4 linked regions of the Drosophila melanogaster genome follow. The protein of the gene in region 3 interacts with the protein of the main gene of each other region in a pairwise test. Each region holds a gene or a part of one and is shown on either strand. Other genes may lie near its edges. The genes, in order: CG5026, CG4168, CG14442 and RanBPM.

Region 1 (6,873 bases), on a different chromosome or scaffold from region 3:
GCTGGCCGGTAACCTCCAACCCGATGGCGAGGTGGAACTGCCTATGCTGAATATTTCCTACAAGCCCCAGAAGATTTCCCCGAAATTCCAAAATCATGTTCGCCATTTATTGCACGATAAGATTCGTGACGCCTACGTGCATCCTCAGTTTATTGCCGATGTTATGAAACCCATGAAAATTGAGGAAATCATGGACCAGGAGGTGCAGAACCTTTCCGGTGGTGAGTTGCAGCGAGTCGCCTTGGTCCTGTGTCTTGGCAAGCCAGCGGATGTCTACCTCATCGACGAACCCTCTGCCTACTTGGATTCAGAGCAGCGTCTGGTGGCCGCCAAGGTTATCAAACGGTATGTTTTACATAGACTTTAAATCTGCACACAAATATTGATGGTATCTCGTTTTAGTTACATTCTGCACGCCAAGAAAACTGGATTTGTGGTGGAGCACGATTTCATCATGGCCACCTACCTCGCCGACCGTGTCATCGTGATCGAGGGTCAGCCTTCAGTGAAGACGACAGCCTTTTCGCCGCAGTCGCTGCTAAATGGCATGAACCGCTTCCTCGAACTGCTTGGTATTACGTTCCGTCGCGATCCCAACAACTTCAGACCCCGCATTAACAAAAACAATTCGGTCAAGGACACAGAACAGAAACGCTCCGGCCAGTTCTTCTTCTTGGAGGACGAAGCCTGCAACTAAGACAGGATCACGGGCAACTTCGATGGGACAGCTCGTTTCTCTATGTTCTCCTCAGCTTTCCTTCGTTCATTTTGCATTCTTTCGTTGAAGAACACATTTGCTTTCAAATTAATTTGTTATTGTTGTCGAGGATTGCGTACAATCGAAAATTGGGGATTAATTGTACTTGATTAAAGTGAGTTTTATATACGTTTTTACAGCGAAATAAATAGTGAACCGAAACAACAGAATGTTGTTTTAAATGAGTCTAGCAAAAATAAACCAATTTTCTTTATACAAAACTGCATTTGAAAGTTCTTTTTTCTAAAGTGGTGCTCATAGAATCCTGCGAGTTTAAAAGAGCTAACGTTTGCAAATTAACACGTATTTATTGCACTTAAGCGATAATTACTCAAAATACGCACAATACAAATGTAAATTACATACAAATTTCTGTCATTTCAAATTTGATCACAATACGAAATCGACGCACAATGAATAACAGCTACAAACATTTATAAGTATATAATTTACAATATTTGTTTTTAGATATACCAACGCATGCACAGCATATTTTTAATGTAAACGCTTTTGAAGCTTTAAATTTATGCGATTTAATCAAATTTACATACAATTTTTCGAAAAAGGCAAATCTTTTGAGTTTATAATACTTAATTTGATCTGTGGCTTGTTGACCACTAAATAACTGACACAAGTAAGTACTATAAATAGGTAATTTTGGAGACTTATACGCTAAAAATTCCATAAAAGTAAATGCGTCAAAAATTGACCCAAATATTTGATAGTTGCATTGTGCTGTTTCGAATCCCAATCTGAGTCTGAGAGTAGAGAGCGTTTTACAAGGAGAGTTTTCTTACTGTTTTGCCGAACTTATGCAATAGAAGTATAGTTAGTAAAAATGGACACATGTATGTCTAAAATTGAGTGTTTCAGTTGATCCAAAAGCAGATCCTATGGTTTATCCAATAATTTAATTACCTTGTTTATTTTCTTTTTCCTTCAGCATAATTTCTTGTAAATGGAACTTTTAGTGACTTAACATTAGTTTTGCTATGTGCTTAAATAATTGTCGAAATCTTGCAACAGAACGTATCAAAAATAAGTGTATATCATGCAGGAGATTAAAAGATAGAGAACATTTGAGGTAGCCGACTATGTATCGTTTCCACTTTTCATGAGGTTGGACACTTCCTGGCCGAGCTCCATGGCTTGTTTGCGCAACTTGAGGGCCTGAAAGATACATGTCATCAGTAAGCATTTCGCTATCAATACTCAAGTGGACTTACCTGAGTCCTGAGTTCCTTCTCGCGGGTGACAAGTTCCTGAATTTGCGACATGACTGTGACTGAGCTGCGTTGATCTATCACCCACCGCAAATAGAGATCTAAAATGCATGTTTGATGAGTAATGTTTCATATATTAAGTTCTTAAACATACCACTCCACAGCTCTAAGCTTATGGGCGCCACCGATGGCCATATCACATTGGCATTAGGCTCGTACAGCGGATTCAAGAATGTCTGAAGGACATCAGGCCGGTTCAAATAAGACCACAGGCTCGTCGTCCTGGTGTGCACATTCAGTTCGTTTCTCTCCCGCTCTGAATCGCACAGGAAAGTTCCATACTGCGAAAAGTGACTGTGCTCAAATAGAAGGATCAGCAGTTGAGTGCTGAATTCAAAGCTGCAGGGGAACTGCGTGTAAAGCTGATAAATGCAATCCAGAAATAGGACGAAGGTGGCACCAGAGGTCTTATTGCGTGTCTGATTTGGTGTATAGCATGAGTAGCGATGACGCGAGGCGAACGGATGTCCCGCCTGGATCCACTCGCGCTCTATCAAAGCCTGCAGGCTGCAAAGGGAACACGGCATAAATATCTTTTTCAAGGTAAGGAGAATATGATTACTTACCCCCTTACAGTCCGGCAGTCCGGATTGAGAATGATCTGCACCAGTGAGGTGACTATAAGCGTGGAGTCCAACCCCTTAGCACCGTGCACTAACACTGGACTTCCCTCTTGGTCCAGGCATTGGGCCACCACACAGGAGGCGTTCAGTGAGTTCAGCACAAGACTAAGCCAGCCGCTGTTCTCCAGTCGCGATAGCCATTTATCAGTACTGCATCCCAAATCGTTGCAAGCTTCGATAAGCCGAGCAAAGCTGTCCAAAATAGAGGCGGGCGAACTGACGTTTCCAATTGAACGATTTACCTTCTTCCACTGCGAGTAGTGCAGGTCAGTTTCCGTATTCGATTTGCCCTTACCCCAAGTGTCCACGATGAACCCCTTCCGACTGCGACCCAGCACCAGATTAAGGATAGCCTCGTCAGCTCTACAGCGCTTGATGCCCTGAATGGACAGCGGCTGGGAGCTGCGCATTAGTGTGGCCTGCAAATATGAATCATTGAATTAATTTAATAAAATTTGATGATGTAGATGCAATGACTTACGCCATTTTCATGCCTGTAGCTGAGCACGGGGAAGCGGCCGCCATCGCGGAACGCAGCGGAGAGCACTATCTGCTCGTCCGTAATTGCTTTAGGTACAATTAGCGTGGCGCCATATGTGGCACAGACGCTGAAGTCTCTGTTGACGTTGGTGATGCGCCACTCGCAGGAGGCCTGGGGACTTTGAAGCGCACCACCTCCCACACCACCAACACCACACGCAAGGGCTTCTATCGCATAGCCATTTTGCAGAGGATGGGGAATGCCGGCGCCCACAGTCAACGTCGATGTCGAAGTTGATGGCATGCAAATTGTTATGTTGGCCACATTCGGCGAGGACGCACCGCCCATGCCAACCCCGCTTATGAGTTTGGCGAACTCCAGCTCGGGCCTGTCGTTTGGATGGGGAGGTTAATTGAATTGTAGCCAATTTGTTAGTTATGGAGAAGCCGTGTACCCACCTAAACATCGTGTAGCCGTCCTCTAGGATCGAGTACATGGGCCGGTAGAAGAATGGATAGAGCAGTTCGGTGTTCTGGATGGCACTGAGTGCCTCCAGCGATGCGGCCACGTTGAAGAACTCCTTGCCGCACTTTATCTCCAACGAAATGATGCGCAGGTCCTTGCACTTCAGGGTGATAATCCCACCGACCACGATATTCTGCGACAAACTAGGCTTCTTCTCCACACAGTCGATGTTCTTGTGGAGCAACTGAAAAGAGGGGGATGAGCATGATGAATTTCTAATTCAATTATGAGCGCTCCACTGATGCCGAAGCACATCGGATTAGGTGGGCAGGCCTCAACCCACTTACCCATAGCTCCTGGCTGGTTTCCTGGCGGGCGCTGAGCAGCAAATGGTGCCCTGTGATGCACAGTGTGCCAACTGTTGCACCCGACGCCCCCGCATTCGATGGGTCGTGCAGCAGGACACCGTCCAGCTTGGGGGTCTTTATAAGGTCGGCGAATTCCATGGTGTCGCCCTCGGCGGGGTGTCCGATTTGATTTGGCCCCCACTAATTAACTTTTTGCATTTTGCCCCGGCTATCTCCTGTTGCCACTTGATTGCTTCTGTCGACGCCGCCTTCCACCTCCGCCCTTCTTCGCCACGGTTATCCCGCCTTTCGAGTCCCCTTTTTTGAACCCACAGCAGTGCGTACGTCACCGGTTCTGGCGGGGATTTGGCGGACTTACGGCACTGCTGCTCTGCAGCTAACAATGAAACTCGTTCCGGGCTGCAAAAACTTTTGTTCCACGCCCCCGCTTACGGCACAGATTGCATTTCTTTCTTTCTTTTCGATTCCGTTTCCGACCGACTGTTCTGTTTTGTGCTTTGTGCCAGTGTGCCCGTCGCTCACTGAGCCGGAAAGCTTTGTTGTGGCGTCCACTACCACACTGCGTTTTGCCTATGAACCGTTATTGCCACTAACAAAGAACTAAAAAATTATCAGGTTTTTTAATATGTAAAAATATTTTTAAATTGTTTTGCAATTTCATTTAGTTTAGTTTTGCAGGAATGATTATATTTACGCTTCATTTTTAAATATATGTTTACGACAGTTTCATATATGAAACTAAAATGACAAAAAAGAAAATAAACTAAATAATTTATAGTAATCTAACAGTAATGAAAATTATTTGCTTCACGTCTTTCGTACTCAGATTAAGATGCAGAGAATAAAAATAAAACACATTTCGCTATATCTGAATCCCTTTTAATAACTATTCTTAAATTTGTAGTTAAACCATTCGAAATAAAACCATGTGGCATACTGGTTGCATGTCACACGCACATGCGGTCCTTTAATCCGAGTAAAAGTAAGAAATGATTATGGTAGATTGCAGTATGGCTAAATTAAGTTTTACATATGGTACACAGACAGCGATGCCAATCGAAGGTCGTGGTCCGCGCCAGAAGAAGCGTCGAATACTCTTTGGAATGCGCTGCAGCAGACGGTGGCAAGGTGACTTAGTAGATGGCGTCTCCACCAGCTCAAACGACTCCCGTCGGGCGTACATTTGTTGGCGGTGGGGCGCCACTGGGCCTTGTCATGATGTCCACGGCATTCTTGAAGAACTGCGTTTTCACAAAGTCTGTGGCGGCGGAATTCAGATCCTTATTGGCACCATAGTTACACTTGACGTAGCCATACAGATTGGCGGCATTCAGCGCAATGGCGATCATTACCAGCAGTAGCCATTTGAACTTCAGGCCGAATAGGGCGAACAGGAAGAAGAGGCCCCAGAAGACGGGACAGAGGATGAGTCCCAGCCAGAAGATGCGCTGCTCGTTCTTGTTGACCCGACTCTGGTAGGATTCAGACTGCGTTTCATTATCAAGGGCAATCTAGTTAGCTATGCTCGTGACTCACGTTCTTTGACTCAAACACCCAGTGCGATACGCCATCGTCGTCGACGTAGTTCCACCAGCGGAGACCGACCAGCAATCTGCCCGAGATGTTCTTCACCGTCCAGAAGTCGGCGGACAGGAAGAGCACCACGAAAACGAAGCTGGTGATGAAGGAGTCGCTGAACCAACCGCAGAACATATAGATCAGGATGGCGGCGCCCCTGAAGAACAGGTGGAAGAAGGTGACGTACGGGTGCCTGTGGAGTACACGCGTTGGGTTGGGTTGGGGTAAATGGAATTGATCAACAAACATTATGGTTCTGCATACGTGTATTTCTGACCCGCGCGACTGGGATCCCGCATCTCGTCCTCCTCGCCAAAGGGTATCGTGTCATCGTCGAGCAGCGGCACCTGTGTAACACGTATGTGGGATTAGTTTGGCTTGCCTCGTTGTAAAATATGAGTTTTCGTGGAAAACCTCGGATCGTATTGTCAGAATGGCACCCCAATCAAGCAGCTTGTTAGGTGTTAGTGCGGCATACATACATTTCTTACCGTAGCGGATGCCATGCTGGTGTAGGGAGTGACTTCTAATTCCTAGTTGGGTGCAATTTTCATGGATTTTCGTGGTTTTTCAGGGGATTTAATATATTTTCTTCGCCTGGGACGTTGTTGTTGTTTCTGCCTGCGTAGCCTTCTATCGTTTTCGCACTGAGTCGATAGCTCGCAGGGGTGAAGCACTTCTTCGACTTCGATTGGGTTGGCAGCACCATAAGTAATCGAGCTTAAACCTATCGTATTTGAAAATTTTGCAAACATTTTTTATTGAGCTCCCCTTCATTTTGTTTGTGGAATTGTTATTTGCAATAGCAGCGCCAAATGAGAAAAAAATGCCACTTTTAAGTTATTTATGAAACATAATTTTTTACGCATCATATTAAGTAATAAAAGCCGAAGCAATATTATCTAAGACGACTTTTATGTTCTGTGACCCGGATTCTCAATGTTACATGGTTGTGGCTGAAAACCAGCAGAGTGTGCAAAAAGTTGTACTCCAACCGCAGTGGAAGCCATTGAAATGCAGCATCCATCACTTGCCAAGTTAGCCCACAAACTTCATCAGTAGCTCGTTGATCGTCTGCTCTTTCTGTCGAACTTAACTACCAACGTTTCAAAATGGAAAAATGCCGTGCCTCCTCTAGGATAATCATAATCGGAGCAGGAGTTTCGGGCATAGCCGCCGCCACTCGACTCCTGCAAAACAATTTCCAGAATGTTCAGATCCTGGAGGCGGAGGATCGCATTGGCGGGCGGATCAACACCGTGTATTTTGGTGACAACGTCATCGATTTGGGAGCCCAGTGGTGTCATGGAAAGCAGCA
Region 2 (5,904 bases), on a different chromosome or scaffold from region 3:
CCCTCTGTCTGTAATAAAATAATTTTATATGATTACAAGAAATATAAATCCTATTGAAAACATTCGACTCAGGCTTGTATTTCAAAAGGAGCTTGGCCAAAATGGTTTGGCATGCCGGTAGAAATTGACAAGACAAATAATAAAAAAAAGAGAGTCGATTTCCTCGGCTATCTGATACCCTGTACTCAGCGTTAGAGTGGGTAAGATGCACAATCTCGGAAAATTATTTTTCCCTCTGTCTGTAATAAAATAATTTTATATGATTACAAGAAATATAAATCCTATTGAAAACATTCGACTCAGGCTTGTATTTCAAAAGGAGCTTGGCCAAAATGGTTTGGCATGCCGGTAGAAATTGACAAGACAAATAATAAAAAAAAGAGAGTCGATTTCCTCGGCTATCTGATACCCTGTACTCAGCGTTAGAGTGGGTAAGATGCACAATCTCGCCGTTTCTAGAATCTGCATTCTTAATATCAATGTTCAAAAAATATAGGGTCGAAAACTCATCCTTCTAACTGATACAAACTTTTCAACGAATGTTGTATACCCTTAACTCTAAAAGTAAGCGGTATAATTAAATACATGCATACATTTTTATAGCATTAATCGTTTATGTGCAACAATTTGATTTATTAATCTCATTACATTTTATTGGAAAAAATCAGACCAAAACTCCATAAAGTCAATCAGCAAAAGTGCCGTAAGGCAACCAAATAATTTAATCGACGGCATGTTATGGATATTTTATTTCTCTGTTCATTATAATGAGTTGATTAAGAGCTAGAGTAAACTTTCCAACCTGGCTAGACTCTGGTCAAGGAAAATTAACTTCGAGTGCGAAGTGTGGGAGGATGAAATGTACGCAGTTTATGATTGCCTTCACGCCTGTCTGGTCATTAGCCTAGGCACAACTTTGCCCCGAAAAAGCACATTTGCGGTCCCCGCATCCCTTGCTTTTTGTTTTCTTTTTTTTTATTTTGCATTTTCAGTAGTCCACAAATAAAACTTTTTTTGTTTGTTTATCCATGATGAGGGTTTGACAGAGATTGCTGTGATGGGGGGGAAGTGTAGGGCCAGAGGTCCTAAAGCATAAACAGATCAATAAAACAAGGCGAAGAAGAAAAGCCGACAGGACGACAGCCACAAAACTAGCTGAGGAATTCGCCCAAAAGAGGCCAAGAAATAACAGCGTCAACTGGCGCAGTTCCCATGCAAATTTCTCCAGACCCATGTATCTGCAACACCCCCGTCAGAAGAACCCAAGAACCCCATGGAACGGTGCCCATGGAACCCAGAGGCACCACGAGGACGACACTCTCCACGCCCATTAACTGTTGCCCGTCTATTTGTTTGTACAAATAATGTGTAAGCAGGCATATTTTTGTCAACGAGGCTAATTTCTGTCACAGATTTACGTGACAATGGCCCAGGCAAGAAGCTAGAGCCCAGAAGGCGCTGGGAAAGCCAAAGAAATCCGCATCAACACGCATACTCGGAATAAAAACACAACAATTACAAAACAGGTTTCATCCAGTGGGATGGGTTGGTGGGTGGTGGGTGGTGGGTGGCTTTGGACAAGTCTGGCAGTTTTTGGTCGAAATATTTTCGTTTCTTCTGCTGTCAGTGAAGTTGGTTATTCGTCGTCGTCGTTTTGCGGCCAGTTCGTAAAAGCCATAAAAAGAAATGTACCAAGCAGCAGTAGACAAAATAAAAAAAAAGAGGAGGCCCAAAACAAAACTGAGCTGTGAAGAACCAGCGTCGAAAAAAAACTGGGTTAGCTTGCGTACTCCCCCCAACATTCCCCATATTTCCCCACCTCCGTTCCATTGTTGCTCCTCGTTGTTTCTTTTTTTTTAGCACCTATGCACCGTTTTTGCGATGCACCCTGCTCCTGTCCGTCTTGGTTATTGTTGTCCAAGAAACTCAATGTGTGACACATATGCAGTCGCCACTCCCCCTGCCACCCACCGACGCCCACTCACCCACTCTGCCACTGCCACTGCAACACTACACCTCCAGATTTTTCTGCGCGTTCCACTTTTTCTTTCCATCATCTTAAAGACCAAAGACACAGATCCAAAAAATGTAGTGGTTGAGAAAAGTTTAAAACACTTATACTTTGTCTTTTAATCCTTCCTTCGAAAAAAATCTTTGTATGAACATTTATATTTCATTTGTATATACGTAGTTTCCTATTGTTTGCTACATATAAATGGCGATAATTTTTGGGAACCAAATTTGCAACCAAACTAAAATTGATCTAAAATTGTTAAAAACCACACATGTGTTTATATATTTTATTTGCCAAATCTACAGACATTTCGACTAACTCTCAGCTGTTATTTTAGTTGTTTGTCAAACAGCTGTTAGTTTATCAATAGCTCTCAATAAAACAAACTATCATTGCAAGTGTATGGTACCCAACATTTGCTTGTTAAATTAAAACCTTAAGCAAGTCCAACCTGATCCATGAACCAATCGAAATTGCATCCAATCCCTTGGACGGCAATGTAAATAGCCCGAGACATTTTCCCGATGCCTCAGCCGATCTGTGGAAACGCCAGTGAAGCGGCAGGATGCACTGGCCTGGCCATCAGAATCGGTGATTGACGCTGATACGTTTGCCACATTTAATTGGGAGAGTGGGTGGATCGCCACCCATCATCCGTCCACCACCCATCATCCACCCCCCGTCGAGGTTGTTTATTGACTGACAAGTGCTGCACATCCGGGCTGCGTTTGCGGAAATGAGCAAATGACTAATGACTGACCAGAGCGAAGGCACCCAAGGCGACGAGTGACCCTTGCCCACTCTGTTTTCTGTTTCTCCGCTTCTGTTTCTTGTTTACTGTGCGCTTCAATTAAAGCATCTTGCAGGAAATTGAACTTTTAGTCAAGTGCCTGGTCGAGTGAGTGGCTGGGAGTTGGAGGAGGAGGAGGTGGATGAGGATGATGATGTGGGGGGGCCAAGTGAGTGGGTGGTTCTTTGAGACAGCGACGGCGACTTGCTCATCAATCTGTTACGTACTTGACTTGTGGGTGGGTTCGTAGGTCGGCGGCTGTTCAGGGCTTGAAAAGCGTATCCGTATCCAGTTGTTGCATGTGCCTAGGCTACTTTTCTCTCCTTCGTTTGCTCTTTCTGCTTTCGTGCCACTTGAGTTTTGATTACTGATCACTTCACTTTGCAATCACCGCTTGATTACTTTTGGTATCATAAGCACTGCCGGATCTCCCTCGACCGATACGATCTCTGGTTAATGCTTCGCGGCTATCAAAGCCTATCTATTTGTGGTCACCATTTCGCGATTTTATCTAGCCGGCTAGAGGTACGAAATGTTGCCGTTGCACCAGCAACATCACTATACGGGCTGCCACTTGTGGCAAAAATGATAATCGGCGATGCTCACGCGCCAAATTACCAACGTGGACTGGCACATCCGTGCCACATTATGCGCATTTTATGGCACGTTGGCGACCTCGACACTCGCTTCGTTTTTAGATCACCCGAAGGCGAGGCATGCAACACGGAAATTGTTGTCCTAGGCGCAACAGACCCAAAAACCGAAGCCCCCGAAGTCAGTTGACACGACCCATGCCGCTGGTGCGAGAGCCCCAAAGCCCGAAGACCCACGATTACCGGAGCATCTGGGCATGCGCAGTGACTGAGCCGGAATTAGTATGCTATCTGGCAATGCTCTGTCATCAGGCGGAGTATTCAAAGAAATTCTAAACTGGACAGTGACTTGATGGGGGCAAAGACGAAGATGGATGTACAATAGGTGGATGGTGGGGGTGAGGTGCGGGAGATGGGCGACCGACCGGCCAGATTCAAGTTCAGGTCGCCCTTTGACCGCAAAATTCCGGCGGCCAGCTAATAAACTCCAGAAGAAGCCAAATTTGTTGTTCGAATTTATTGTGGAACATTCTTTCCAACTAACCCACAACTAAGACTGATAAATGGCCAAGCATACTGGCAATTTGCAAGTTTCTGACCGTTTTTAGAGCACTCAGTTAACCCCAAAAGTTTTATATGCCTCATCTAGGTGCGGCCCATTTCGGTCCTCTTACCCAGCACAGCTCCTTTTGCTGTTTTTAATCTACAATATTAGCCGGTAGTGATGTTTCAATTAATTTTTAAGGTGCACCCCAAACTGCCCAAGAACCGAAGAGCATAGAGATGGTTAAAGATATAAAGATGGAGGCTTTAAGATGCAAAATGGGGGCAGAGAACTCCGGACGAAGCCAGAACCGCATGCTAAGATATGATGGCAGATGCCAAGCAGGATGAATAAATGGCTTGGATGCAAAGTTTAAATTTTTCATAGTTGGGTGGCTCGGTTTGGTTCGCTTCGTTTCGTTTCGTTTGGGTTTGCTTTTCTGGGGCTTGAGTGGCAAAGTAAAATGTTCCTCATATTTGTCTTCTTGAGGTTTTCATCGGTCAAACTACGGAGCAATTGGACTTGTAGCACTAGCAGTAGATTATTTCATTAAGGCGAAACTAAGTTATGGTTAAAAATCATATCATATACCCTTTTTAAAACTCCCAAATGAAATAAACATCAAAATAGTGGACAAACAGCAATTGAACTATTTTTGAACTATTTATTTCTTAAAAGAAATATATTTAATTTATATAATTCAATTGAAAACATTTTATTTGGCTATTTACACATTTTAACGCCCATCTCACAGAACCCAGACACGGTTTTTACGAATTCTAAATACATTTAAAAGAAGTTAAAATCGGGTAAAAAACATTTCAAACATAAAGCTCACGGTCAAGATTATTCTTCTTTCGTCGGCACTTTTCATTTTCCAGAGCACAAGCGCTAGTTCCCTCAAAGTAACATTTGCCATCATAATTGCAGGTGGGCAAGATGCATTTTCCGCACGGCTTATTGCAGTTTTCTCCCCATGCAATTCCGATTAGCATACAGGCTGTTTGATTAACAATAAGAATGATCAAAATATTTAGAAAATCTTTAGCTTACCCAGAATAACTAAGAAAAACAATTTCATAATGATAGTAGCCGATTATAACTGACTTAAACAGTCTCAAGTACATTGCATTTTATTGGTTATATTGGTTAAGGTTAAATGCGTTAAAAAAGCATTACAATCCAATTAAATTTTGTACGAGATGGTATAATACGTTTAGTACATGTTAAAAATGAATGTGCGATTGACTCTAAACTTATTTTAGTCAGAAGAAATAGCTAACCGGTAGTCCACTAAATTCATTCATTCAGCTTGAGAATTTTCGGGTTAACTAAACTCATTAAGGTAAAATATGTAAAATAATAATTATTTAATTTTCTTTGTAAGACCACAACAATTGGATTCTGCTTCATAGTAATATACGTTTTCAAAAAATGCTGCACAAAAAACATTTGTTAAGCATGCCAATTTTTCATTGTAGATATGCTTAGAGTCGATTTCGTAAAAAAAATCGGCTCAGTCACAACCTGAAAATAAAATTGAGGTATATAAGAAGTTACAATCGATTCGATAAACTTAGAAAAAATGTAATCTTATTTTTATAGCACTGAGTGCAACTATGAGGACAGCAACGGAAATACTTTAGATGGATTTGATTTAAAATTCATGAGAAAATAACTTAAATCTGTTCAGGAAATTGTTTAGGTTGATTGAGTGTAAGCCGTTTCGGCTAATCCGAAAAAAATACATTTACAAATGTCCTTCGTGATGCTCAACGCTCTGCACATTTAACAAACAATTTTCAGTCAATTGTGTCGAAACATTCCCCATTTCGATTCAATACCTACTGTAGTTCGGAGTTTTACTCGGTTGTGCTCATCCTGGTCCTTATCCTGAACCTCATCCTGCTGCATCTTGTTCTTGTTGTGGTTTAATGGATTTGCAGTTTGCAGTTCCTTAACA
Region 3 (9,053 bases):
GTTTATGAAAAGATGTTATCAGCAATCGATAACCGATAGCCACTAGCTGACCATCTGTCCCATACATCGCTGCCAATCGACCGTGTTGTTTTGTTCTTATTAGATTTATTTGTTATTTTGGGCTTCTACTGATAAAAATCTGCAAGACAAACAGTAAAACGAAGAATAATCTAGGAGTGGAAAACAGATTTTTTGCAAATCAATAGAAAATTGCCAAACCAATAAAAATGTGAAAAAATATGAACACATTTTTAAAAAGTTAATTATGATTTTTATACAGATCCTCCAGAGCTTTTCCATCACCTGCACGCTGACAACCACTACCGTAATGAGTAGGAATAGAAAGAAAGAAAGGCTGCCTTTGGAAAAAATTTCCAGCGGATGTGGTGCGCGTCATGCGCGTCATGTGCGCGCCAGACGTGCAACATGCAAAAACACGTTCGCCTCTGCATTTGCTATCGATAACCGATAGCCACTGGCTGACCACACATACATCCCATACACCGCTGCCATTGACCGTTTTGTTTCGATCTTATTAGATTTATTTGTTATTTTGGGTTTTTTTTTTGCTTTTTTTTTGCTAATTTAAAAAATTAATAGTTAATACATACAACTACTTAGTGCTCTGTTTACGCGCTACATATTCTGGATTAGGTTTAGTTGGATCTCCACCATCGATCGTAGTTATCTTTTTATTTTAGCTGCATTTCTTCGATTTTCAGTGGCTTTCGGGGCGTCACAGTGTTTCATTTCATTTAGCTTTCTGGGTTTCCGGTGGACTTTTGTGCCTGCCAGGCATCCGTATTGCACTTGATCCTTGATCTCCGCTTACTCTGACTTTTTACAAAATCTACCATTGAAGTACATTAACACTTTAAAAAACAGATTAAAAAAAAATATACGCTTATTGATAACTATAGACAATCCCTACTGTTCGCAGATATCTCCATCGTTTGTGCGTCCAACGCCTGATATTCCGGCGGAAATGGAGGCCTGGCTAGCACGTCATCCACACATATCCCTTCTAGCGATTGGTGCTGCGACTGTGACGCCTCCGCGAACCTCATTTGGTCTTCATCACAATGATTGGCTCGAGTATCTTTAGCATGTCATTGTTTTCGGGTGCTCCCGTTCCACTGCCGCCGCCAGAACCAGCAGCTCCTCCTCCGCCTCCACCGCCGGCTGCATTTGCATAATCCTTGACCGTCTGCAGTTTACTGAAGCCAGGATGCTGCTGCTGATGGAGCTGCTGCTGCTGGTGCTGACTGATGGTCACCAGGCGGTGCTGCTGGTTCAACACAATCGCCTCGTGATGCGGATGCGGCACCAAATGTTGCTGCTGAAGGCTGCCGGCAATCTGCTGCAGCTCATGCTGCTGCAATTGCAGCGCCGGCAACTGTTCGTGATCGTTGGAGCCATCGCCACCGCCCAATGGTGAATCGTCGTTGTCGGCCTTCACCACCGAAACGAAGCCACCATCACTGCCCGTGCCAGTGACCGAAACGGCTTCACTTTCGTACATATGATGCTCGGCACTGGTGTCATCGTCCTGGCACTCATCTTCTTCCTCGGTTTTGGCACGGAACTCGGTGCTGGTGGCGCTGCTGCTGCGCGGCGTGTGGCTGCGCATGCGTCGCATTCGCGCATATTCCGCCTGCTTGGACAGTCGCTCCTTGCGCTCGTCCGTATTCTCGGTGGCTCGGATCTGGGCCCGCTTCAGTCGTGCCCGTTCGCTCAGCTTCTGTAGACGCGTGGCCCGCTGCTCGGGCGTCTCATTGGCACGCACCGCTCGCTGGTGTGCGGCCATCTTGTCCAAACGTATTCGCTTCTCCTCCTCCGTCTCGTATTTGTTAGCACCGCTGCGTCGCGGCGTCAACACTGGCGTTCGACTGTCGCCATCGGCCGTGGAATGTACATGAATCTGGCTGAGCTCCTGATGATGTTGCTGCGATGCCTGCGACAGTGGCCTGCCGCGACGCGGCGTACTGGTGGCCAGCTGCGGTGCGGACAGCATCTGATTGAGCTCCTGCTCCAGCAGACTGTTCACCTTTAGCTGCTCCTCGCTGGGCAACGGATTCTTTCGCGGCCTGCCCCTGCCAACAGGTGTGGTCACAATTTGTGGCGCCGCCGCCGACGACGCGCCTGTCTGTTGTTGCTCCTGCTGTCCCAATCCAGTGACCGTTAGCGTTGGATTCGCCGCCAGTATGTTATACTGTCCGGGACTATTGCCACCACTGGCGTTGGCAAAGTTGACGGGCGTAAACGGCGGCGGCACTGCATTCGGCCCGATGCCAATCTGGAAGCCATTGTGGTACATTGGATAGTAGGCGGTGGTGGTTGTACCGCCGGCGCCCGTTGTTGTACCCGCCGTTACCACGCCCACGTGTCCGACATTGGTGGTACTGGTGGTGCTGTTGCCGCTGCTGGTGGTGTTAGGGAAGGTGGCCAGGTAGGGGAATTGATTATACAGCTGCTGCGCCTGGCCGGGCGTCGCCTTAAGCAGCTTCTGTTCCCCGCTGGCCGTCGTCACGATCACCTTGGTCTCGTTGTGGCCGAGGCTAACAGACCCGCTGTTATCATTGCCGCCCGCTGATACCGTAGCATCGTTGTCCGACTGCAAGAAGGGATAGAAGGGATTGGCAAGCCAACGGGTGAGTCGGTTTGATTCTGCGGGTTATGGGACTATCGGTTTGGAATTCTGGTATAAATCTTAATCTTCGCAATCACAGCAATCTTCGGTAATTGAATTTTACAAATCATTGCAACCTAATTTCGTAATTTGAGTGATAAGATTGATTGATGTGATTGAAGGTGGTCTTATAGATTGGTTTTCGAAAAGAACCGAGTGCGAGTGATAGAGCGAAAGGGATAGATGGAGGACACACACACACACACACACGAACGCACACCTGTACAAGGGAATTAAAACCACTTTTTGTTTGTTTCTGGTTGGTAAAAGTATTTTGTTCTTAGGTTCAAGATTTACATTGCTACATATATCTACACTCTATACGATTGATTAATTCATTTGCTTCTGACCAAAAAAAAGAACTAACACAAGTAATATGAACAACGAACAATAATGTTAACTGAAATAAACTTATACGATTTTCGCTTTTGATCAAAAGAGGAGTTAAAATGCGGGTAAGGCAACGCGCAAAAAAAAAGAGAGGTCCATTGGCCGCTTCTTCTGCCAATTTCCATTGAATTCTATATATTTTCAAAATTCCTACTTTCCGGTTTCAAGCATTTTCCTTTGAGGCAGTTGATTTCGCCAACTGCAAGGAAAATATTTGAAATTTACGAGTATTGGCAATTGTTTGATATTTTACCAGCGCTACGAATTTGTATTCGATTCCAAATTCCTCTGCAACTGTAAAAATCATTTATTGTTATTATTCAGGAATCAAGCTAAATTAGGCTAATCATGTTTTGATTTTACGTTTACTGGAAGTAGATAGTGCCCTTTTTTTCTAATACCGATTAGATTTCAAATAAATAGTGTTTCTAGATAACAAATTACATTGATGGATTCATGGGCAAGATGAGGTTCCTGGAGGATGCCAAACTTTAGTTTTGCTGCGTTACTTTGTGTGTGTGTGCGTGATTTAGTTGCTATCGCCGATCATTCTTGCTATCTACTACGCCTACTGCATACGCACCTGAAGTTCCTGCTTCTTGGCAGCATATTTGTGCGGGTAGAGTTCCAGCTGGCCACCGGCGATGCTGAAGTGCGGCACATGGGCCTGGAGCAGCTTTGCGGTGCCCTTGCCACCCTCATCGCCATAGATCTGCTGCACAAAGATGCTGCCCGGCTCGGTGCCCTCGAGCAGAGCAGCCGTAACCTGTTGCTGCTGCTGTCCGGTGATGGTGTATCGCTGATGCTGCTGCTGCAGCTGCTGCTGTGTAATCTGCTGCTGCTGCGGCGTCTGTGGCTCCTGCTTCAGTTGCATGGGTGGACGTAGGGAGCCGGGCGCCAGAAACATGCCCTGTCCCATATACTCCACTCCGGCCAGGGCCTGGTGTTGCTGATAGGCGGCTGCTGTCACCAGATGCTGCTGATCCTCCGCGGGCTGCGGGGTGCCTGCCTCGTCCGTTGTCGTCGTCGTCGCTGTGGTGGTCGCCTGGTTTAGATTGATAGTGTGTTCGTTAGTACAATTGGCTGCCGCCGCTGCTGCGGCTGCTGCTGCAACAGCCAGCACCTGCTGCTGTTGTTGCTGCTGCTGTTGTTGCTGCTGTTGCTGCTGCTGCTGCTGGTGGTGGTGCTGCTGGTCCGTTGACGACGAGGAGGATGTCGGCGTTGAGACGACCACCGACGACGAACCACCGTGCACCACAACATGCTTCAGTACCTTCTTCTTTTCTCTGACCTTTTTGGCATAATCGTTCAGCTTTCTCAGTCTTTCCTTCCGCTCCTCCGGTGACTCATTGGCGATCCTTTGGCGCGCCCTTGCCGCCATTTCTGCCAGCCGGAGCTTTCGCTGATCGTTCGTCTCGCTGGCGCGATACATGCGCATCCTTTCGGCCAATTTGGCCAGCCGTTTGGCCCTCTGGTCCGGCGACTCCATGGCCCGGCGTAGCCGTTGCCTGGCCGCATTCCTCACTAGCCGCATGGCCCGCTCTATGTCGGATTCATTCTGGCGTCTCTGGCGATTGGCTTCTGCATTCCGGAGTAGTCGCTTGCGATACTCCTCCTCGCTCTCGCGCTGCCGGCGTTCCCGCATCCTTTCAGCATTTCTGGCCAGACGGCGCTGGCGTGCCTCGGGGCTCTCGTTCCACCTCTGCTGGTGGCCAGTGGTGGAGGCACCTGTTATGGATGCGGAACTGGCACTGCTGGTGGGTCCCAATGGAGTGGGTGGCTGCTGCGATTGCTGCTGCTGCAATTGCTGTTGCTTCAGTGGTGCATAAAGCTGGAGATGCTGTTGCTGGAACTGCAGTTGATCCTGTTGCTGCTGGTGAAGATGTTGCTGCTGGAACTGTTGCTGTTGTTGCTGATGCTGCTGCTGCTGTTGTTGATGTTGCTGCTGTACGTGCTGCTGCTGTTGTTGCTGCTGTTGCAATTGCAGCTGGTGATGCGAGGAGAGTGGTACCAACAAAGCTGAGGGATGCTCGATGAGCAGGCGGGCATTGGAGCCATTGATGGCCAGCACATGGGTGGCGTACTGCTGCTGATCAAGTGAGGGCTCTATTTTTATCCCATTGGGATCTGGTTCCATTCTTGGTCAAAAGCCGGGGCAACAACAATCGAAATTGTCGTCTATCGGGGCTCCAAAAGTGTACTGTTTGTTATGTATATATATATATTTATATATATATTTATAGATATATATCTATATATGTGTATATAGACGATGGGTATTTGGTTATCGAAAGGATGAGCGCAGTCCTTCCGATTGTTTCGATAACATCTAGGGGCCGCGCTCTTGCTCGCCCCCTCTCTTTCGCACGCTCTGGGCCGTCTCCCGCTCTTTTTTTCGTCCGCTGCTCCTTGGCGTTTCCTCTTTGTGTTTGTTTTGTTTCGCTTTTTGCTTACTAGTAGTTATATAAAGAATATGTGTGTGCTGGCGCCGTTTCTCTCTCGCACTCTATTTTTGCGGCGATCACTCCGCTATTGTTATTGTGGTCCTCGGGCATTTCTTTCGTTCCCTTTTTGGCTATGAGCGGTATTCTTCTTCTCCATTTTTAGCATTATGCACTTTATTACCGTTCGTATTTGGCCATTACAATTTTTCGTGCGTTTTCATAAAAGCGTGCTTCTTCTTGCGAGTCAGTGACAATTGGCGCCGCCGCCGCGCTGCTTCTGCGCTGCCAATCGATTTTTCACATGATTATACACACACACCCATGCAGCCGCCGTCCGCACACACAAGCACGCACTGCTAAACACACACACACACACGCGCAACGAAGCAATACGCAACGTACGTGTGTGCGAGTTTTTTTCCGCTCCTTATTTTGCTTTTTGCACAAACCTTAACCCTTTGATTTGTAATTCCATTTATTCGCCGTGCTGCGGTGCATCCAGGCGCCTTTTCTCTTGGTGGGTTAAAAGGATGTTCTGTGGCGGCGCAGCGTTAACTTAACTACCGGGAATTTTCCACATAGCTGGGACCAGCGTATATCTGCCACTTCCGATCGCACCGTAATGTCATTAACTTGAAGTATGCGTACTTGTTCGCAATCCGTGGTACTGTATCTTTAATTTAATTTAATTCATCTTATTTCAGTTGTTTTCATTTCAACAATCGTTCTGTTCACAGTAGGGATGGTAAAAAGTATCGATACATCGATAGTTGAGCAGGCTGTCGATTCATTGGAAAATGCAACTGATTAACCGATGTTCCGCTTGAAATATCGCCCGGGTTTATTTTACAATTTGGAAATTAGTCTTGCAGGCAGATAATATTTATATTATTATTTGGCTGCAGTTTTGCAGTACCATATTACAGAATATATGTACTATTTTTCCATACTTAATGTTATAGTTAGATCAGCTTGTCGATAGCTTGATGTTTGAAATCGATTTTTTAAAAATCAAGCGTAACGTCAAGACATGGATAATTCTATTTCAATTGTAACAAATTTTCGCCTCTTGGCCACACTGTTTTAAAGCTTACTTTACATAACAATCAACTATGTTATGTTATGTTAACAGGGCATTAACATTCCAAAGCTTTCAAATCTTTTTGAAATGAATAAATGCGATTTATAAAAGTGAATTAAACTATTTATATAAAATTAGAAACTATATTATTTCCAATAAGAGCATTTCGTTGATAATCGTAGATAATCGTATATATAATAGGATTAGTTCAGTAGCATGTGCTGAATGGAGTTTGTAAATTATTTATATTTTATATTTAAATGTATTTTAGATGGGAGTTTTTAATTTGTTTAATTGCTGTGATACTTAAATGTACAACAAGCATACGGATGGCGATCCTGAGAATGGGACCCACCCTTCAGGTTCATCGAGGACATTCTGTCAGATTTGAAGGAAATTTTCAAAATTGTAGTGTTATTATCAACCATTCCTGATCATTTCCGGTTGATAACGCTTTTACTTTTTTTTAGATTATCACTATTCCCTATTAAATTCCCACCAAAGCTCAGAACGCAGCATTTAAAAATTGTGAATGCAACTTTATTCAAGTATATTCATTTTGTTATTCTCGTTTTTTTTCGCTTATATTTTTCTGTTTCTGTTTTCACTTTCTTGGTGTTGTGTTTTGTTTGTTGATTTTTCTTGTTGTGTGTTGTCATTGTTAGTGTACACGAATATTACAATACACAAAAATGTATCTCAATCTTATGTCTTAAGGCAAAAAACAATTGATAAACGTATTTAGACAGGAGAAAAACAATTTGAAATTTCGACTAGAACTTAATGGTTACACTTTATTAATAATAATTAGCATAATATATATATATACATATGTATATATATGTATATATAAATATATATCATGTATATATCATGTGGGCCCGCGCGGAAGGACATGGGCGTGGGAAGAGGCTGAGGATATGGATAAGGATAAGGTCTAGGAAAAGTGGGCGGTTGGATGTTGGCTGGGGAAGGGAGGAAGGATTGCGTGCTTTAACAAATATTGCGTTATGTGCCTGGCTACGGATCATGTGTGTATGCTCCAACTATATATGTATATATATATATATATATATATAAATTTGTATATATACATATATTTATGTGGGAGCTGCCGAGTGTGTGTATATTATCCTTATGTGAGTGGCGCTGTCCGTTTTGGGTTACATGCCTTTACCAACTTACACACACATATGGGGGTTGTTCGTCACTAGGGTGCCTCAGTTGTTGTGGAAAAATACGATTTTTGAATGTTATAGCAAGTTTCGCCCGAGGATTTCCTCGAAAGGCACTTGTTGCCTCGTCCATCCGCGATGCTCAGTAATTATTTTAATATTTAGTTTTTCGGGTTTCTTTTTGTTAAGCTTGGGAGGTGTACCTCCAGTCGTTGGCGATTTTCCCTCCGTTTTTTTTTTTTTTTTATTTACAGTGAGGCACCCTGGCGCTGTAAGCTTCCTTTTTCCTGGGGGAGTGGGGGATATTACTGCCCTTTTTTGGGGGCTCTATATGTGTGGCAATGACTATGCTAGTGCATGTGTGTGTGGGGGTTGGGGGTGTGTGTGTGTCTGTGTGTGTGTGATTGGTTTTTGTGTCGTGTGTGTATACATATCGTACGAATATAATGCATGCATTATAAAAATACTTTACTTTATGATTACATTACGTTACTTCATCTTGTTAATTTTTAACTTAAAAAAAAAAATTGCCTGGCTTTAATCCTAGAGTGCCTGCTGCCCATTCATTTGCAAGTCCTCAAGAATCCTTCTGGTTTCGGACTGGTTTCCTTATCTCAAACTTTTTTCTTATAGGCTGTATACAATATATATATATGTTTATATATATATATAATTTGTAGATGTGTCTGTGTTCCTCTGCCGATCCTGGCCAGCTTTTAGGGCTGCTCGGCCAAGCTGCTCTGCCGGAGAGCCAGCTCCAAATGGGCGTATTTGCCTGAATCCAGGCTAACCGATTATACGATCCTCCATTAGTAACCCTTTAGCCTGTCGGCCAGCGGCGGCTTGATGACCTTGGGCGCACTGGCCCGGGCGATTCGCATCCGTTCGGCGGCCTTGGCCAGCCGCTTCTTACGCTCCTCGACGGTTTCCGAGGCGCGGCGCAGTCGCTGCCGCGCTGCATTCTTCATCAGTCTTAGGGTTCTTTGTACTTCCGTTTCGTTCTGGCGTCGCACTCGATTCGCCTCCGCATTCTTGGCCAAACGCACGCGGTACTCGGCCTCCGATTCCTTGGCCCGTTTGTCCCGCATCCGGGCGGCGTTTCTCTCCAGCCGCCTTTCCCTGGCCTCAATCGATTCGTTGCTTCTCCGGCGGGCGGCCTTTTGCGCTCTCGAGGATTGGCCCTGCTGCGTCACTGACTGCTGGGCGCTGAGATGTGGCACGCCAAGATTGGCAAGACCCGGAACGCCACCAAGTTGACTGGCCTCGACCACAAC
Region 4 (9,138 bases), on a different chromosome or scaffold from region 3:
TCATTTATACGGAATAATAAATAATACGGTTGCAAGTGATTTGGTAATTTGAATGTGCTTTCATTTTTATTTTTATTTGTTGAAAACTTCAGCTTAATCAACAAATCATGACATTTGAAAAGATACAATTTTAATATATAAAACTGAACACATTGTCAGAATGGCATATATTTAATCCAATTTGAACCCCCTTTAAAACACAGTTCTCGCTTTCCTGAAATACACATCCATACAATATATTTAAACGATTATCCAGTTAAATTCTATTCATGTTTGCCGAATGTGTGTATGACCAATCTTGTATATATAGATTAAATTTTAATACGCTTAAACACTATAGCGAAACATTACACTTAAAATGTTCATTTGCTTTTGCTTAGTCTTGCCACAAGACACGGGATGGCGCGGAGTCCATCGAAAATCGCTGAAAACACGGAGAATTAAAACGCGAATGTCTACCAGTTAACTATGGATTCGGTTCTATATTAACATGCTAAGGAGATGATTGAACAGCTTTTGCTCCAGGCTAGTCCCTTCACTATCAATTCTAGATTATATTTTGGTGTGTGATTGTTGTGTTTCGGGCGGTGGAAGCGAAAAACAAAGGGCTAATTCAATTTCAAGGGTCGTGTCGCAGCACATTTCGCAAATTTAATTATACATCATAATATTACACACTTTATGCTTAGAGAGGCTATATAAAATATATGTTAAAAGTTATTAAAAATCACGCCAAATCAAAGGCCGCCAAACGCATAGCATCTTTAGCATAATCGAACAATTAAAAGAACGGCGATTAGTTTTAAATAGGCGCACTGAAGCCGGTTGCGCAGGTAAAAAAGAAAGAGAACGGAAGTAACAACAAAATTTAACCTACTGCAAATTGTAAATAATCTAAATTTAGTCCAGTGTCTCGAAGAAGTCCTGCGGATCGACGAACATCGATGGGCTGCTGTTTCCGCTCAAGATTTCCGCTTCCTCCTCCTCCTGGCGAGCCGCCTCCGCTTCCGCTTCTTCCGCCTCCTCCTCCGCTGCCGCTGCTGCAGCCGCTGCCGCCGATGAAGATGAGCTGACCCCGCTCCTGCGACGACCCCGACGCACTGGTCCCGTGCCCGTGCCCCCGCCCACCGATGCCACAGCTGCCGACCGGAGCGTACTGCCCGTCATCACGGGATCGTAGGTCCGCGACGACGGGGCATCGGTATTGCTGGACAGGGAGGATTTGCGGCGACGTTTGTTACGCCGCCTTCGGCGTCGTTTGCTGGTCTGAACTGCCACGGCAGCCGTTGATGTGGAGGGCCCAGATCCGGTTCCGGCGCTGCCCAACGGTTCCGTAAGCACACTGGTTCGCGGCAGGGTCAGCGTGGTCTCGAACATCTTCAGCAGCGTCGGGGAACTGGGTCAATTTTGCGGGAACACATCGTCGATGGTAATGAAAGCGTCCTCGCCCAGCGAGTGCTGTCCGATCACCTTGATCAGCTCCGAGGCGTGAGCCACCAGGTATTCCAGCGGCGGACGACGCTCGAAGTTCAGGGACTCTGCATAATCATAGTAATTAGTAACTTCGTTTCGAGACAAGTGTTTAAAGACTTACCCAATATGGCCGAGTTGAGTGTGGTGGAAACACTCTCACGTCGCGAGGGACACAGCAACCAGCCCAGCGGACTGGACCAAGGATTAGAGTAGGCAATCAGACTAAATGCATCCTGTAACAACCATAAATTGAATATCTCTCGATTACGGATAATCATATTCTTATTGAAGTTATTTTTCAAATACAAAGAGTGCTTAGTCTGCAAGATACCAGTTTCTATTGTTTATACATTTTTATAGTTTACCTCCAACATTTGACGCTCCTCTTCAGTCATTAGGTTCTCCTTCTCCAGCTGCTGGCCCATGCTGGACAGTTCCTTGCCGAACTCAAGGATCTTCTCGATCACACGACCACAGTTACGCGATGAGGGGGAAACATCTACATCTGCAAGTGCTAGGGATTACGGATCTTCCCGGAAATGCCGCCAATAGATACATACCCATTTCCTCGTCGATGGCATCTAGAGAGTTGCGCACTGCGCTGGCATTGCCATTGGAGCTCGAGTCGCCGCCGTTGGAGTGACTCTGGCAGGGCTCCATTTCTACGTCCATGCTGTTGCTGTCGTGCTCCACGCACTTGTTGGAGTTGTCGTCAACCAACATGCTTGAACAGTACGTTGTGATTAAAGATCGGAGTAAGTATTACATTTGACTTACTTTTTTATATCTGGCCTATCGCCGCCTTGTGGCTTTATCACAGCTGGAATCGCAGTGTTGTTCTGTTGTTGAGTCTGATTTATGTTGACGTTGCCATTTCCACTGCCGCTCTTGCTGTGCTTGAACGTCTTGGTGGACTGTATCACTGACGTCTGGTTTGTGGGCATGGTCTGTGTGGTGGCGGTGACTTTGTTGTTCACGTTCTGTAAGACAAACCATCCGGTTCTACTTATCTTCCGCATGTAATGTTTAAAAACCCACCTCAATGTCAGCTCCATTGATCATCTCAATGAACTGGCGGCACTTCAATGCGAACCAGAGGTTTTTATTATTTTCCAGGAGTCCGGGGAAAGAACGTAGTGTATGTTCGATGGCCTGGCTCATTTTGCCAGTCAGTATAAGCTTAATGATCTCTGGAAGAGTGGATTTAAAGTTGGCATGTGTGTTGTCATTTCAAATGGCAAATATACGAACTTTGACGTGTCTTGATCGATGCCAAGTCCTCGTTGAAAGTCTGATTTGTGTAGCCATTGAAGGCCTCGGCGGTTTTGCTGAACGCATTATGCACCAAATAAGTGGAAACCAGGCTAAGCAATTTAGAAGTCATTGGGTTAAGCCATGATTTTTAAACACATTTAACAAAAACGCACCGATTCATCAGGTTTTCTGGGGTCTCCAGCAGATGTGGATATCGATCGATCTTGCGGAGCACATTGGAGCGCATCTCCTTCATCATATCGACGATCTTGTCGAACTTGAATGGTTCCTGACCAAAGTTGGCATCCACTTCCTCGCCAGGCGTCTGTAGGCCCACAGTGGGATAAAGCTTAGTCTAAACAAAAAAAAAAAAGATTAACAAACATAAAGTTAGAAGATAAAGTAGTTTTAAAATTCCATTGAATACGCACCGGCAAATCCCTAAATGCGATGCCCAGATCCACTCCGTTCTTGGTGTAGAAGCACGTGTTGTTCACAAAGTTGACGCAGCATCCAATCACATCGCCGGTGGTAAAAGTGGGGCCGTAGGTTTGGCCATTTCCCGAGGAGCTAAACGAGTTGCCATCGTCGCCGTGGTACCCGTACGACTGTTTGTCCCAACCTACTTGAGGGGGGGTGCGGTTATTAGGAATCATGGGCACATCTCGCCGAGCAGCACAATGGAACACAAACCTGGCAGGCGGTTCATACGGAACTGCTGGGCAGTTAGGCCAATGCCCATGTAGCCGTTGCGTCCCTTGGAGATTATCCGCACCTCGAAGTAGTACAGTCCGCAGGAGGACGGGATCGGATAGGCAGTGCGCACTGAGGCGGCATCACTGTGCTGCTTGCCCACACCTAAAAAGTCATGAGGTTTCAGTATTTGACAGATCTCAATTTTTATATGCTATAGCATTGCAGTAAGACAATATTCTTTTATCCATTCGGTATGAACTTCCTACTCTCGAACTTAGTACATGGGATATGTTCTTAACATAAATGAATGAGTTGGTTATCTGGACAATAAAAATAATAAAATTGATACTCTAAATAAAAAAACTGATTTTTGGCCTAAGTCTACGTCGAAACAATAATGAGACATTTTATCAATTTAAATGAAATATTTCGAATTATTGAGTTATATATTTTACCTGAAATTAAAGTAACCTAAATATACATTTTACATCTATGCAACGCACCATCTACGTAATAACTTATACATTTTACGCGCATTTTACATGTTATGTCGCACTGGTAAGCCAGCTGTTGCTGTTAGCGGTTTAACAGCCACGCGAATGAGCGTGGGAGAAGTGGGTTATGAAAAACAAAAACCACCAGTGCACAGCTGAGAGCACCTGTCTGTGCCCTGTGCGTGTGTGTGCCAGAGCGAGATAGAGCGAAAGAGAGTGAAAACTGCAGCTGCACTACGACTCTTCTTCTTTCTACTGCATTGAGTTACATCCTTCAAGACAAATATTAGATTTTGTGGATGGGATTTCGAATAAATAATAATTTCGATAATGCAATTAATAACTATGCAAGTAATAATTTAGTAGGGGCTAGCCTTATATTCGGGTGTTTTGATTTAAGGGCTAAAATATTGTATACTGTCTCTTTAGCTTTAGATCAATACAAATTTGAAAATGTAAGAACAAAGTCAAATCGTTGTAATAAAGATAAACTCCATGAACTCTGGCACTTATACCACCTGGATACTCATACTTGGCTACAGCGTAGACAAACTTATTACAATTTATTCCATATCTATGTAACTATATCTATGTAAGTGCATATTTAATTATTACATTTCATTGCGAAATTGAAATGTGCGTATTAGTGGCAATATGAAACCGATTTAGAATTGAACTATGACAGCTCCTAAGAAATCTGTATCTTATAGTTGCCTGATCGTTGCCTACTTTCTATTTTAGATGGTATGAAATGGAGAGTTGATTTATAGAGAAGTTCGAATCCTACTCACCCTTGTAGGTGACCCTCAAGTTGTTCTGCGACAAACCGATGGACAAGCACTTGTCATGGGGACTCCAGCACCTGGGCAGCGGAGTCTCGCTCTCGTTGACATTGGGATAGAGCAGCCTTAGGGGATCCACGCCCTGGTGCTGTGGCGAATTGGAGCTGGCGGCGGGGGTCGAGTGATGGCGGCGACCACCGACCCGCGGCGATGATGTCTGGGTGCTGCTGCGGGGATTGTGGCTGGGGAACATGTCGTTGCTGAAGTGACTGCCGTTGTTGCTGTAGAAGTGACGAGTGCGTCGCGAGAGGCTGTTACTGTTGCTGTTGTTATTATTGTTGTTGTGATTGCTGATATTGTTGTTGTTATTGTTGCTGCTCCTTGGGGCTCGTGAGGCTGAGGAGTAGCGCGGCAAAACGGCCACCGAGTGCAGGCGCTGGGCACCGGAAACGGAAGCGACTTCGCCGGCTCTGTCGACCCGGTCCTCTACCACCTCCTCCTCTTCATCCACCTCCTCGTCGTCGTCTTCGTAGTCGTCGATGCGCTCCACGGCGTTGGCGTCTATGGTCTCGGCTATAGCGTTTGCGTCTATAATCAGTGGCGGCTGCTGTTCGTTAAGATCCTGCGATCCGGAGTCCTGCTCGTCCAGATCTTCGAGAAGCAGCGGTGGCGGTGGCTCGGCTTCTGGTTCGATTTCGGGATCTCGAACTTGCGGCTCATCCGGTTCTTGGTTGGTATCTTCTCGTCCTAATGTCTCCCGGTTTTCCAGCGATGCTTGTGGTGGATGCTCTTCCGGATTCTGTGATTCTCGGTGCCGAATAAGCCCCTCTATGTGATGCAGCTCCTGGTTTTGCTCCGCTTGTTGATCTTGGTGCACTGCGGGATATTCTTGATTCTGTTGATCCAGCAATGGGTGCAGCTCCTGGTCCTGCGCGGGCGAATTCTCCTGCTGATCCTGCTGCAATGGTGGCGCCTCTTGCTGCTGCTGCTGCTCCCGCTCGTCCCGCTGCGGTGCCGTCGATGAAGTCGTGGGTGGCGGTGCAGTCTGGTGGAAAGTAGGAGTGGGTGAGTGATCATGTGGTGAATTCTCGCGAGCTTCCGTTTCAGATGCATTCAATGGGGGACTAGGGTGATCGGGATGGGGTTGGTCGTGAGAGGACGCGGGGACGGGCGGCGAGGGTGTGGGCGAATGAGAGTGTGACCGAGACGTAGAGGGGGCTATTTCGGCACCCATGGCTCCCGATTGAGAGAGCTGGTGAGAGCTGCTGCTGGCGCTGCTGTTGTTGCTATTGCTGTTGCTCTCCGAAGAGAGTGGCGGGGCCTCTTCGACGTTCTCCATGTTATGGTTGAGTTGTCGTTGTTGTTTATCTTGTTGTGGTTGCAAAAGGAGGCTGAGAGAGAGACGTTCAGCGAGGAATTAGAGAGAGTGAGCCAGCAACGAGCGAGCAAGAGAGAGCGGATGAAGTGCATATGCAGATGCTGTGTGTGTATACGTGAGGAGTGACGAAGGGAGGGGTAAGGAGGCTAGCAAACACAAACAACTTCCAAAATGCAATGTCCTTTGTCCGTTACACCGTTCACCTCATTCGCACTCTCTCAATCACTCGTGCACTCTCTTTCGTTAACTGACCCAAAATACAAACAACAACAGCAACAGCAGTTTACAGTTGCGACGCGCAGCTGCAGCACAAAAAAATACAACAGCAACAACTACAGCTACAAAATTGCATGCACGAAAATGCAAAAAATCAATAGCCAAACGATATTAGCCAATGCTTTCTGCACTTTTTAACATTGCTAGCAAGTCAGTTTTGATTATTCTACATTTGTAAATGCCTTTTTACGTCGTACTTTTCTGAAGTTTTCTTTGTTTTCCCTTCTAACCAACGAGTCACTGTCCACACACACACAAACAAGCACCAGCTCACACACTGGCAGCACTCTCTCCCTCTCGCACACACGCATATATGCATGCAGCAAGCACACACACTCGCAGCTCCCACACGCAGAGAAGAAAATTATCATTTTTTTTTAGCTGGGGCAAATGATCTTTGTTGGGGTTTTATTTAGCTGATGAATTCGATTTGGCTGTCATTCTATGCTGTTGATCGGATCTACAGTTGATATTTCCTTATATTTACCTTCAAACGATTGCTATGAGTTGTTAAATCTACGAAGTTTTGACTTTATGCTATAGAGCTGGAACAAAAGCCGATGTTCATTCGATGATATCGATATCTATTCCGACACCTGACAACATCAGAGTGCGCTCGGCAGCTATCGATTATTCTTATCGAATAAATCTCTTTAGGCGCCTAAATTCAAAATTTGATAAGCAGTAACACACTTCCCAAAGTGCCATTAAAATCTTAAAATGTTTTTAGGTAAAACCCTTGACAATACTTTTGGAGGGTATTATTGCACTATTGCTAGCAATCTTATTTTTTGGGTAAAATTAAACCTTACGTAATTCGTTATGTTTTTTAATGCTAATTTAATCTTTTAAATATTGGTTTAAATTATAAAAAAAGATCATATTATCTATTTTTAGCGCATACTTTACGCCATACCGATAAGAATATTAAGGGCAATTATTACTTAGAAACTTCTGCCTATGGTATAAAAGTATGACGAATGTCAAACATACGCGTTTTACATTGAAACCAGATTTAAAAATGCATCAGCGCAAAAAACTTTAGTGATTTCTAGTACTCTGCCCAGAATGTAATTAAGAGATCGCTGCACTGGTAAAAAAAACCGCCATAAATTCAAAAGATTCGATTCGATTGACAGACTATCGATGCTGCAGAATTTACCGGTTCGCTCTACGGCTTCTCTCAAATGCTTTGACACTTTCTATCTCACTCTTCTAATCGTTCTTGTTCGTTTCGCCTCAACCTTCACTCTGTATTTTAGTTACTTCCTTTCCGAATAGAAATCCTATCACGTAACTGATAATAAACAGTGGAAAATTACCACACGTCTGGTGTAGAGACGAATGTTGCTGGATTCTTGATTAGACTTTATACACTAGCACAAAAACTGTACTTGTAACTTATGAAACACGATCGAGCTACTGGGAGGGAACTCTTCTAATTAAACTTATCAATTGTTGCATTTTTGGTATCCATTATGACTAGATATTGAATTTTAACCATATGATTCCTATTTGGGCTGCTTTCATGCGTACTGTCTTTTGCCTTCTGAATGAGCGATCTGCCCATCCGACTTCCCAAATCCATTCCATCTTTATGTGTGACTTACTGAGAGAAAACCTATGCTGGTGTGCTAATTTTCGATAGACCCACGCACACAGTCTCACGATTTCACTCGCTCTTCACTTTCAATTAGAGGCTCGTTTTCTGTACGTGAACGGGAGAGCCGTGCGATCTATGGAAGTGTGCGATTTTTGCAGGCACTCACAAATACCATCACGTTGCTCGCCGCTCTCTCGCTCTCAATATCCGCCTATCGGCGTGGCTGTATGTTTGCAGGTGTTGGTGCTTCGCCTCTGTTTACCAACACCATTTAACATTTAAATGCGCTCTCGCTCTCTGTTTATGTTTGGAGCCGGCAAAACCGTCAACTGCATCAAATCAGCTGTTTTGATACTAGATCCTGAAGGAATTGGTTCTGGACTGATTGATTTATTCGAACAAGTTTAAATTAAAAGAAATATGCGAAACTGTACTTCATTTTGCGTTACATCTAAAATGTGTTCGTCACAGAGTCCATTTTTGTGTGACGCCCCAAACAGGTTTTTTTAAGGCCCCTCTTGAGGTTCACACAAATATGGAGACCCCGTACGAGGCCTCATCTTTCCCCTCACAATGTCCCCAATTATCACTGAGTTGTTTGTTAGTCTACCCGCAGCACCACGTACTATACATACAAACATACATATGTACATATATGATACGATAAGCCAGCTCCCGTTCTCTGTCTCTATCGGTCCCCTTTCATCAAATTGATCCAGTCGGGTATAAAAGACAGCGAGCTCTCCCAGTCAGTATTCAGTAAGCAACAAGTGTGCGAGCTAATAACAGCTACCAGCTGAGCAACTAACAAGTTTTTTTCCAAGTGAAACTAAAAATCAAACAGCAAGATGCGTTTGGGACAGACCGTACCTAACTTCGAGGCCGACACAACCAAGGGGCCCATTAAATTCCACGAGTGGCAGGGCAACTCGTAAGTGCCATCAAACCCTTTTTCTCTGATCGAATCTTACCAATTCTCCTTCGGATCGCCAGCTGGGTGGTGCTCTTCTCTCACCCCGCCGACTTCACTCCCGTCTGCACCACTGAGCTGGGCAGGATTGCGGTGCACCAGCCGGAGTTTGCCAAGCGGAACACCAAGTGCCTGGCGCATTCCGTTGACGCATTGAACTCGCACGTGGACTGGGTGAACGACATCAAGAGCTATTGCCTGGACATTCCCGG

Evidence for each region.
Region 1: the proteins of CG14442 (region 3) and CG5026 interact in a two-hybrid assay, tested with the Drosophila melanogaster proteins (one large-scale study listed by BioGRID).
Region 2: the proteins of CG14442 (region 3) and CG4168 interact in a two-hybrid assay, tested with the Drosophila melanogaster proteins (one large-scale study listed by BioGRID).
Region 4: the proteins of CG14442 (region 3) and RanBPM interact in a two-hybrid assay, tested with the Drosophila melanogaster proteins (one large-scale study listed by BioGRID).

What each region holds. Positions count from the first base shown.
Region 1 is NT_037436.4:8,966,157-8,973,029, reverse strand, and holds CG5026 (uncharacterized protein), read right to left. Parts: upstream 4,503-6,873; 5' UTR 4,116-4,502; coding exon 3,957-4,115; intron 3,854-3,956; coding exon 3,603-3,853; intron 3,533-3,602; coding exon 3,145-3,532; intron 3,083-3,144; coding exon 2,607-3,082; intron 2,548-2,606; coding exon 2,135-2,547; intron 2,082-2,134; coding exon 1,984-2,081; intron 1,928-1,983; coding exon 1,850-1,927; 3' UTR 1,278-1,849; downstream 1-1,277. Other genes in the region: pix (pixie), read left to right, coding at 1-345, 403-697; CG5021 (uncharacterized protein), read right to left, coding at 5,135-5,464, 5,514-5,748, 5,820-5,902, 6,038-6,061; CG5653 (uncharacterized protein), read left to right, coding at 6,668-6,873.
Region 2 is NT_033779.5:15,197,043-15,202,946, forward strand, and holds the start of CG4168 (uncharacterized protein), read right to left. Parts: upstream 3,418-5,904; 5' UTR 3,032-3,417; intron 1-3,031. Other genes in the region: Sfp35C (seminal fluid protein 35C), read right to left, coding at 4,665-4,720, 4,780-4,941, 4,995-5,022.
Region 3 is NC_004354.4:6,688,741-6,697,793, forward strand, and holds CG14442 (uncharacterized protein), read right to left. Parts: upstream 6,262-9,053; 5' UTR 5,217-6,261; coding exon 3,663-5,216; intron 3,374-3,662; coding exon of another isoform or gene 3,338-3,373; exon of another isoform or gene 3,333-3,337; intron 3,279-3,332; exon of another isoform or gene 2,942-3,278; intron 2,615-2,941; coding exon 1,064-2,614; 3' UTR 556-1,063; downstream 1-555. Other genes in the region: CG14440 (uncharacterized protein), read right to left, coding at 8,589-9,053.
Region 4 is NT_033778.4:10,427,486-10,436,623, reverse strand, and holds RanBPM (Ran-binding protein M), read right to left. Parts: upstream 6,913-9,138; 5' UTR 6,841-6,912; intron 6,620-6,840; exon of another isoform or gene 6,551-6,619; intron 6,091-6,550; 5' UTR 6,039-6,090; coding exon 4,709-6,038; intron 3,586-4,708; coding exon 3,421-3,585; intron 3,353-3,420; coding exon of another isoform or gene 3,350-3,352; coding exon 3,159-3,349; intron 3,083-3,158; coding exon 2,901-3,082; intron 2,838-2,900; coding exon 2,725-2,837; intron 2,664-2,724; coding exon 2,512-2,663; intron 2,454-2,511; coding exon 2,251-2,453; intron 2,198-2,250; coding exon 2,034-2,197; intron 1,988-2,033; coding exon of another isoform or gene 1,979-1,987; coding exon 1,839-1,978; intron 1,707-1,838; coding exon 1,595-1,706; intron 1,539-1,594; coding exon 1,402-1,538; coding exon of another isoform or gene 901-1,401; 3' UTR 43-900; downstream 1-42. Other genes in the region: CG12896 (uncharacterized protein), read left to right, coding at 8,805-8,887, 8,950-9,138. UniProt on the Drosophila melanogaster protein: May be involved in JAK/STAT signaling. Isoform D is required for the proper arrangement of niche cells and is autonomously required for proper niche cell size, isoform C negatively regulates the adhesive properties of the niche.